Caenorhabditis elegans: one gene and its partner. The protein of the gene in region 1 purifies or fractionates together with the protein of each later gene. This does not show direct contact. Each region holds a gene or a part of one and is shown on either strand. Other genes may lie near its edges.

Region 1 (3,248 bases):
CCGCCGTCGAGGAGTACTTCGAGAAGTTTGCCGAGTTTGCCGCTCTCGGAAAGTCCGCCAACATTGCCGACCTTCCAAAGGATCCACGCAACGTTTGAGTGACAAGATACCGACGATTCTTTCAAAAATACTCCTTACTCCTATTACCTTTTGATGTTTATCTTTCTGTAAATAAATGTTTACGAAAAAAACTCTTGACCTCGGCACCAAGGCACAAACTGGGCAATCAGCGGCGCCGATCTTCTTGAACGGAAGACACAAACATCCCTTATCGCGCGACACTCATCGAGGTCATCGAAGGTCTCACTATAAAAGGGACGGCGCCGGCGCTGGAAGGATCAGTGTTCAGCTCGGCAGCGATGAAGTTTCTACTCCTTCTTGGCGCGGTTATAGCCGTTCGAGGTATTTTTTCTGGAATTTCAACACTTTCAGTACACTTTCACTCCGTGATCCTTTTCAGCCCAATCCGACACATGCCCATCACTCAAGGATCGTCAGCTTGCCAAGCCTGGCCAGCTGTTCTGCTGTGATAGCACCATCAAAACCGTCGTGGAGACCGGAATGCAGACCCTGGACCTCTTCGGAGCTGGTGGACCACAAACACTTGGACCAATCGTTCAGGCGCTAAGCACCTTCGTTCAGCAACACTTCAAAACTGCCTATGAGATTGTTATGGCTCCAAAGGACTTTGTGCTCAACACACACTACAATGGCACCAGTCTCTGCAAGTTCCAGTCCAACAGTTACACCTTGGCCATCTACGAGACCCCAGCTAAAGTAAGTTTATTAGATTTCAGAGAGATCCGGCTAATTCTTGAATCTTTCAGTACGATATCAACAGCTCCAGAGAAAAGTACTTCAACAAGTTCGCTCTCAACGACAAGCTCCGTCTGCCATCAGTTTCCAAGCACCTCAAGCAATTCTCCGGACTTGCCAACACCGCCACCGGAGGACTCAGTGGATCCGCTGGATCTGTCGCCGGCGGCCTTGCTGGAGGATTCTTCGGACGCTAAGACGTTGCAAAATGTGTGCAAGTGGAACCATTGCCTGCTGTAAAATGAAAAACATTACGGGGATCGTCATCTTTTTGTCGCTGAAACCAGATTTTTTATGAATAAAGCATTTAAAAATCATATATATTGTTATTAAAACATTGTTGAAATATGCACGGATCAGGTGTGCCTTCTTGTGTTCCAAAAGGGCCCAGAGTCTTCAGAAAAAGGCTTTAGAAGTGGCCAAGGACTGATTAACTTCGAGCATCTCATGGTGGATGGAGCATCATGGAGGATCCAGGATGGAGCTCAGAACCCGAACTCTATGGAATCAGCAATTTGTAGTTTCAGAGCATTGTACATCGGAGAAAGCCCGCCGTCTAAATCCCAAAGCCTTTAAACATCTTGTCGTGGACCTTTTAACTTCTGGAGCCGAGCTATCTCCACTACAGACTGGGATTAATTTTACTCTTAGGATTAGGCTTAGGCTTTGTGTTTGGCTCAGGTTTTGACTGAGGCTTAGGATTAGGGTGACGCTTTTTTAAAAATCTTTTTCTGAAGAAAAGTGCACAACATCTCTACCAAATTTCTTATTATCTTTTAAGTTTGATCAGCTATTTCTTAGATTTGTTTTTAAAGACCCAAATTCAAAAATCGCCTTTACGTTGACACTTTAACCTTGAGGACCTACTCACAATCTGATCTTGAAATAGCGCCGCCCCCGGCGAAAAAATTCCAAAGATAATCATCAAAGCTATTTTCCCACTACTCGCCGTACCATACCTATCTCGATTTCGCATCTTTTACTATATAAGGACTGTCCGCACAGTTTTGAGCCTCCTTGCAGCGTCTTCAACGTCTAAAAAATGCGCTCTCTCGTCGTGCTAGCCGCTTTGGCCGTTACTGTTTGCTTCGCACAGGACAATTGTTATATTAATGAGGGAGGTAAGTAATTATGAGGGTGTAAGCCTAGGCTCAGGTTCAGGCTTAGGCTTAGGCTTAGGTTTAGGCTCAGGCTTAGGCCTAGGCTTAAGCTTAAGCTTAAGCATAGGCTTAGGATTAGGCTTATTATAATTTTAATTGACACGGACACTTTCAGGCTTCACATGCTGCAACAAGGAGCTCGAGTCCGTCATGAAAAGCTCGTTGGGAGGAAGTGACCTTGTCGGATCTGCCGGGGACATTCAAAAGGGAGCAGAAGGGTCGTTGGGTGGAAAGTTCGAGACCGTCGTTGCCCATGATGATTTCGCCTACAAATCTCACTTCCAGGAGGGAAAATCGTGCAAAGTCGAGAAGGACGGACAGTATGCACTTGCCTGGCAGCCATAAGTTCTTGTATTTTGTTTTTACTGGTTTCAGCGACTTTTTGACGATCTTCTTTTACCCTATCTCAATATTTGTATACCCCCCGCAACTATTGGTTCAATTTGGCACATTTTTGTATAAAAGAATTTTTAAAAAGTTTTTCGATTTGAAATGTATTCATTGATGGTTTGGTTGAAATATGTAGGTATGAAACTTCAAGCAGAATTAGAGAATTCCACTAGCAGTGTCTGGATCTTTTTCGAAAATTTATGAAAGTCTCCGAAGCTTTTTAGAAGCATATTATCGACTGAAACTATTAAATGGGCAGTAAAAATGTTAAGTAGAATAAGAACTTCGTAGTTTAATAGTTTAGTAGTTTTGTATAGTTTCGGCAAAAATGTCAAATTTTTCAAACTTCTCAACTCGAATATAAGTCTTTTTTTTCAAAATTTTGATTTATCATAACGTTTTTTGAGACAATTTCATTCCAAAATTAGGCCGTTTTAGGCCATTTTAGGTCTGAAAATGCAGTCTCAGATTTTGGTACTCCACCTTTAATGGCAACTACCAACCATTATCAAACCATTAACTTTTGGCAGTGTTAAATAAAAAATTTTATTTGCAAAATCTCAAGCTTCAAACGTAAAATTATAACTCTTTGCGGTGCCCATCAAATCATTCAAAAATCAACCAACGTCCTCCGTTTCATGTTTGATCTTATAGTCTTCCAAGTTTACCTCGCCACCCAGCGGCTTACAGAACTCTTCCTGAAATATCACTTATCATCCAGAATACATCCATCAGTTTTACCCGCTTAGCAAACATCCGATCACCGGCACGACATCCGTAAAGTGAGCTGAATAGTGGATATTGACGAACAGCGGTGTTGAGAGAAAGCTCAAAGGGATGATGATTGCGGCATACGGTGTTTTTCGGTTTGCCTTGGACGCA
Region 2 (4,455 bases), on another chromosome or scaffold:
AATCTGCTGATTCCGAGAAAAATGCCCCAGCCAAGAGAGAAGCTGATAAGCCAAAGACTGAATCTGCTGATTCCGAGAAAAAGGCCCCAGCCAAGAGAGAAGCTGATAAGCCAAAGACTGAATCTGCTGATTCCGAGAAGAAGGCCCCAGCCAAGAGAGAAGCTGATAAGCCAAAGACTGAATCTGCTGATTCTGAGAAGAAGGCCCCAGCCAAGAGAGAATCTGATAAGCCAAAGACTGAATCTGCTGATTCTGAGAAGAAGGCCCCAGTCAAGAGAGAAGCTGATAAGCCAAAGACTGAATCTGCTGATTCTGAGAAGAAGGCCCCAGCCAAGAGAGAATCTGATAAGCCAAAGACTGAATCTGCTGATTCTGAGAAGAAGGCCCCAGTCAAGAGAGAAGCTGATAAGCCAAAGACTGAATCTGCTGATTCCGAGAAGAAGGCCCCAGCCAAGAGAGAATCTGATAAGCCAAAGACTGAATCTGCTGATTCTGAGAAGAAGGCCCCAGTCAAGAGAGAAGCTGATAAGCCAAAGACTGAATCTGCTGATTCCGAGAAGAAGGCCCCAACCAAGAGAGAAGCTGATCCACCAAAGACTGAATCTGCTGATTCCGAGAAGAAGGCCCCAGCCAAGAGAGAAGCTGATAAGCCAAAGACTGAATCTGCTGATTCCGAGAAGAAGGCTTCAGCCAAGAGAGAAGCTGATAAGCCAAAGACTGAATCTGCTGATTCTGAGAAGAAGGCCCCAGTCAAGAGAGAAGCTGATAAGCCAAAGACTGAATCTGCTGATTCTGAGAAGAAGGCCCCAGTCAAGAGAGAAGCTGATCCGCCAAAGACTGAATCTGCTGATTCCGAGAAGAAGGCCCCAACCAAGAGAGAAGCTGATCCACCAAAGACTGAATCTGCTGATTCCGAGAAGAAGGCCCCAGCCAAGAGAGAAGCTGATCCACCAAAGACTGAATCTGCTGATTCCGAGAAGAAGGCCCCAGCCAAGAGAGAAGCTGATCCGCCAAAGACTGAATCTGCTGATTCCGAGAAGAAGGCCCCAGCCAAGAGAGAAGCTGATCCACCAAAGACTGAATCTGCTGATTCTGAGAAGAAGGCCCCAGTCAAGAGAGAAGCTGATAAGCCAAAGACTGAATCTGCTGATTCCGAGAAGAAGGCCCCAGCCAAGAGAGAAGCTGATCCACCAAAGACTGAATCTGCTGATTCCGAGAAAAATGCCCCAGCCAAGAGAGAAGCTGATAAGCCAAAGACTGAATCTGCTGATTCCGAGAAGAAGGCCCCAGCCAAGAGAGAAGCTGATCCACCAAAGACTGAATCTGCTGATTCCGAGAAGAAGGCCCCAGCCAAGAGAGAAGCTGATCCGCCAAAGACTGAATCTGCTGATTCCGAGAAGAAGGCCCCAGCCAAGAGAGAAGCTGATCCACCAAAGACTGAATCTGCTGATTCTGAGAAGAAGGCCCCAGTCAAGAGAGAAGCTGATAAGCCAAAGACTGAATCTGCTGATTCCGAGAAGAAGGCCCCAGCCAAGAGAGAAGCTGATCCACCAAAGACTGAATCTGCTGATTCCGAGAAAAATGCCCCAGCCAAGAGAGAAGCTGATAAGCCAAAGACTGAATCTGCTGATTCCGAGAAGAAGGCTTCAGCCAAGAGAGAAGCTGATCCACCAAAGACTGAATCTGCTGATTCTGAGAAGAAGGCCCCAGTCAAGAGAGAAGCTGATAAGCCAAAGACTGAATCTGCTGACAAGGTTCCACTACCACATTAACTCGATATGGAACTTCGACGAGAAAGTATCTTTTGAATTAATAAAAACATGTATGAAATGTTATTGTGCATATAGTTCTGTAATAAACTCATTTTTCACAACTACGTTGTAGTGTTTTCGAAAAATACAAACAAACTAAATTGAAAATAGCTTTTTAATCTATGTTCTCCATTGCTCAGGTTCATTTTCAGTCAGATTCATCATGCTGTTTACATCAAATTTTCAAGAAAACAGCTGTTCTTAACATTTGATTTCCAATCTTTTGGCATCCGATTTCTCCACTCTCCTCGAAGATTTCATATTCAAAAAATGAAGTTTTCATCAACTATTATATTTCTTATTTTTTTACTTGTGCCCTCTTTGAAATGTGCATTCCGGACTGGACATAGACATGACTGGTATGAAAAGAATCGTCTGAAAGTTTCCTGTTTGCAACAGGATGATCCAGTTGGAAGGAATGCAGTTAGTCGGTGCTGGTTCTGGGTTCGTTCTCCATTTGACAATAGAAATAGTTATGAATCTTTCAAATTTTGTTGCGAGAGAATTGAATTACATCAACAATATCGCTAGTTTTGAGCTTCAAAAGTTCAAAATTGCAATTTCGTGTTAACTGTTGTAAGTGTATCGCTGTTGTAACACAACACCCTACATACAGTAATTTAAAAGTAATCTAACTAAATTAAATTCGACCCATAATTATTAAAACAAACAATTCAAAAAGCTCTATAATTTCCATTTTCCAGGAAGGAATGAAATCATGGTTCCGAAGAACATCGATCTCTTGGTATCCCGAACAAACGAAAACGTGGAATATGACAGAATTGACAGCACATTGTGATAAGTATTATGTAAGGTCATGAGTACTTTTCTGGAACCTTATTCTGATGAAAATTGAAATGTTATTGATGAAGTACCGAAATAAATTAACCGCTCCGCGGTTTTTGCACCGACATTAGAAGATATTGTTTTTTTAACAAAGCAATCGTATAAGTACGGAAATTCAACAATGTTTTTGGCTAATTTAAAATGATTGAACAACTAATTTAAATTGAGTCACGTCTTATTTCAGACCTGTATGGAAAATACAAAATGCTACAAGGACTTTGTCCTATTTGAGACATTGGATAGATGCTCTCATGATGCATTCAATATTGGTCCAATGAGCTTTTGCTATTCTACTTTAAGAGATGTTGCAAAGAATTTCCCAGACAAGTTATCGTCTTGCGTGAAGGAACACTTGGATGCGGTGAGTGCATTTATCTGAGTGGGTCTCACCACGATTTGTGCCTAATTTTAGATACTTGCGTAGTTGATGTGGAAAGTGGAGTTTTTGAAATGTCAATTTCTGAAATGTACAGAGAAAACATGAATTTATTATGGAATATTTATCACTTACTGTCACGTTTCCGCAAACGGACGATATTGTAATTTTTCCATTTTCTGATATTTGCACTTAAAAACACACCGATTTATTCGGTAGGTTCTCGCCGCGAGAAAAAATTTGTTATTTGAAATTTTTCTCGTGGCGAGACCCATCCAAATAAACCTGTGCGCCTTCAATTACTCATCACGGTATTTTGAAAATGTTTAATAGTAATTTGTGTATTTTTGTGAAATTCGCAGAATTGAGATCGTGGTGAGACCCAATGAAGCCCCACATTTTCCCAAATTTAAAAAAGCAATTGTAACGTCCTATTTTCAGACTCCGACAAGGAAATGGACTTGCGAGATAGCCCAGGATTTAGGAAATTGTCTTCTACCGGACGTTAAAAATTACTGTGAACCGAATTTTCTACCGATATTTAAAGAGGTTTCCAATATATTTATTCTACATTTAAAATTAAAATCCGTTCCAGCATCAAGATTCTCGTATGTTCAATTTGGGTTGCGATGGGCGATTGAAGTTCAAAGACATGGAAGATTTGAAGGATCACAATGCGACGGATCTAGTTGGAAGTTCTGTAGAAATAGAATAATAAACATTTAATAATTTACAATTCTTCATTTGATCATCACAGAGGGCGCAAGGAAAACAAATGTTTCGGAGACAAGGGAAAATGTTGTGAGGGTTGTATGGAGAATTATATGGGGACAGGGGGGACTACGGTAAGTTATGGGTAGTCTGGGGTGGGAAGGGAGAAAAATAAAATATGAAAAAAGAAAAGGAAGAAAAAACGCGATGAATACCCTAAAAGACACATAGAAAAAAAATTTAAAAAAAGAAGAGTAGTCAATAATCGAATAATAATTATAATAATATTTAAATCAATGGGATATCGAGAAAACTTATAAGATAAGATGGATTGGTTATATCATCGGGGGGAAGGCGCGAAATATGAAACGATGGGTTTGAAAAAGAAAAATGCAATTTGAAGCGGCGACGACGATGAAGACACAAAAATAGAGGTTTTATAAAACAAGGATACGGTAGGGGGACGGGGGGAGCAATCACCTACAACGATGAATTTGAAAATATCCAAAAAAAAAAGAGAAAACCGTACTGGAAGAGGGGGATTGTTGAATTGGGAGGAGGAGACGAATTGAACAGAAGTTAATTTCAGCAATTTTTCACTGAAATCGCTGCTTTTTTCATAAATTTCTGAATTTCAGTTTACAATGACTGATGATGTGTTGGGTGACGAGAGAAGCGAGAATATCGAGACATGGATAAAAACGTGAGGCG

The links.
Region 2: the proteins of grd-10 (region 1) and H39E23.2 fractionate together in Caenorhabditis elegans (co-fractionation; one large-scale study listed by BioGRID). This does not show direct contact.

What each region holds. Positions count from the first base shown.
Region 1 is NC_003282.8:3,439,320-3,442,567, forward strand, and holds grd-10 (Ground-like domain-containing protein), read left to right. Parts: upstream 1-1,735; 5' UTR 1,736-1,858; coding exon 1,859-1,937; intron 1,938-2,091; coding exon 2,092-2,321; 3' UTR 2,322-2,522; downstream 2,523-3,248. Other genes in the region: grd-13 (GRounDhog (hedgehog-like family)), read left to right, coding at 1-98; grd-3 (Ground-like domain-containing protein), read left to right, coding at 360-402, 461-777, 828-1,013; F09D12.2 (Peptidase_M13_N domain-containing protein), read right to left, coding at 2,984-3,064, 3,108-3,248.
Region 2 is NC_003283.11:14,108,280-14,112,734, forward strand, and holds H39E23.2 (T20D4.11-like domain-containing protein), read left to right. Parts: upstream 1-2,062; 5' UTR 2,063-2,081; coding exon 2,082-2,255; intron 2,256-2,515; coding exon 2,516-2,620; intron 2,621-2,841; coding exon 2,842-3,018; intron 3,019-3,474; coding exon 3,475-3,582; intron 3,583-3,628; coding exon 3,629-3,748; 3' UTR 3,749-3,767; downstream 3,768-4,455. Other genes in the region: H39E23.3 (Neurofilament heavy polypeptide-like), read left to right, coding at 1-1,772.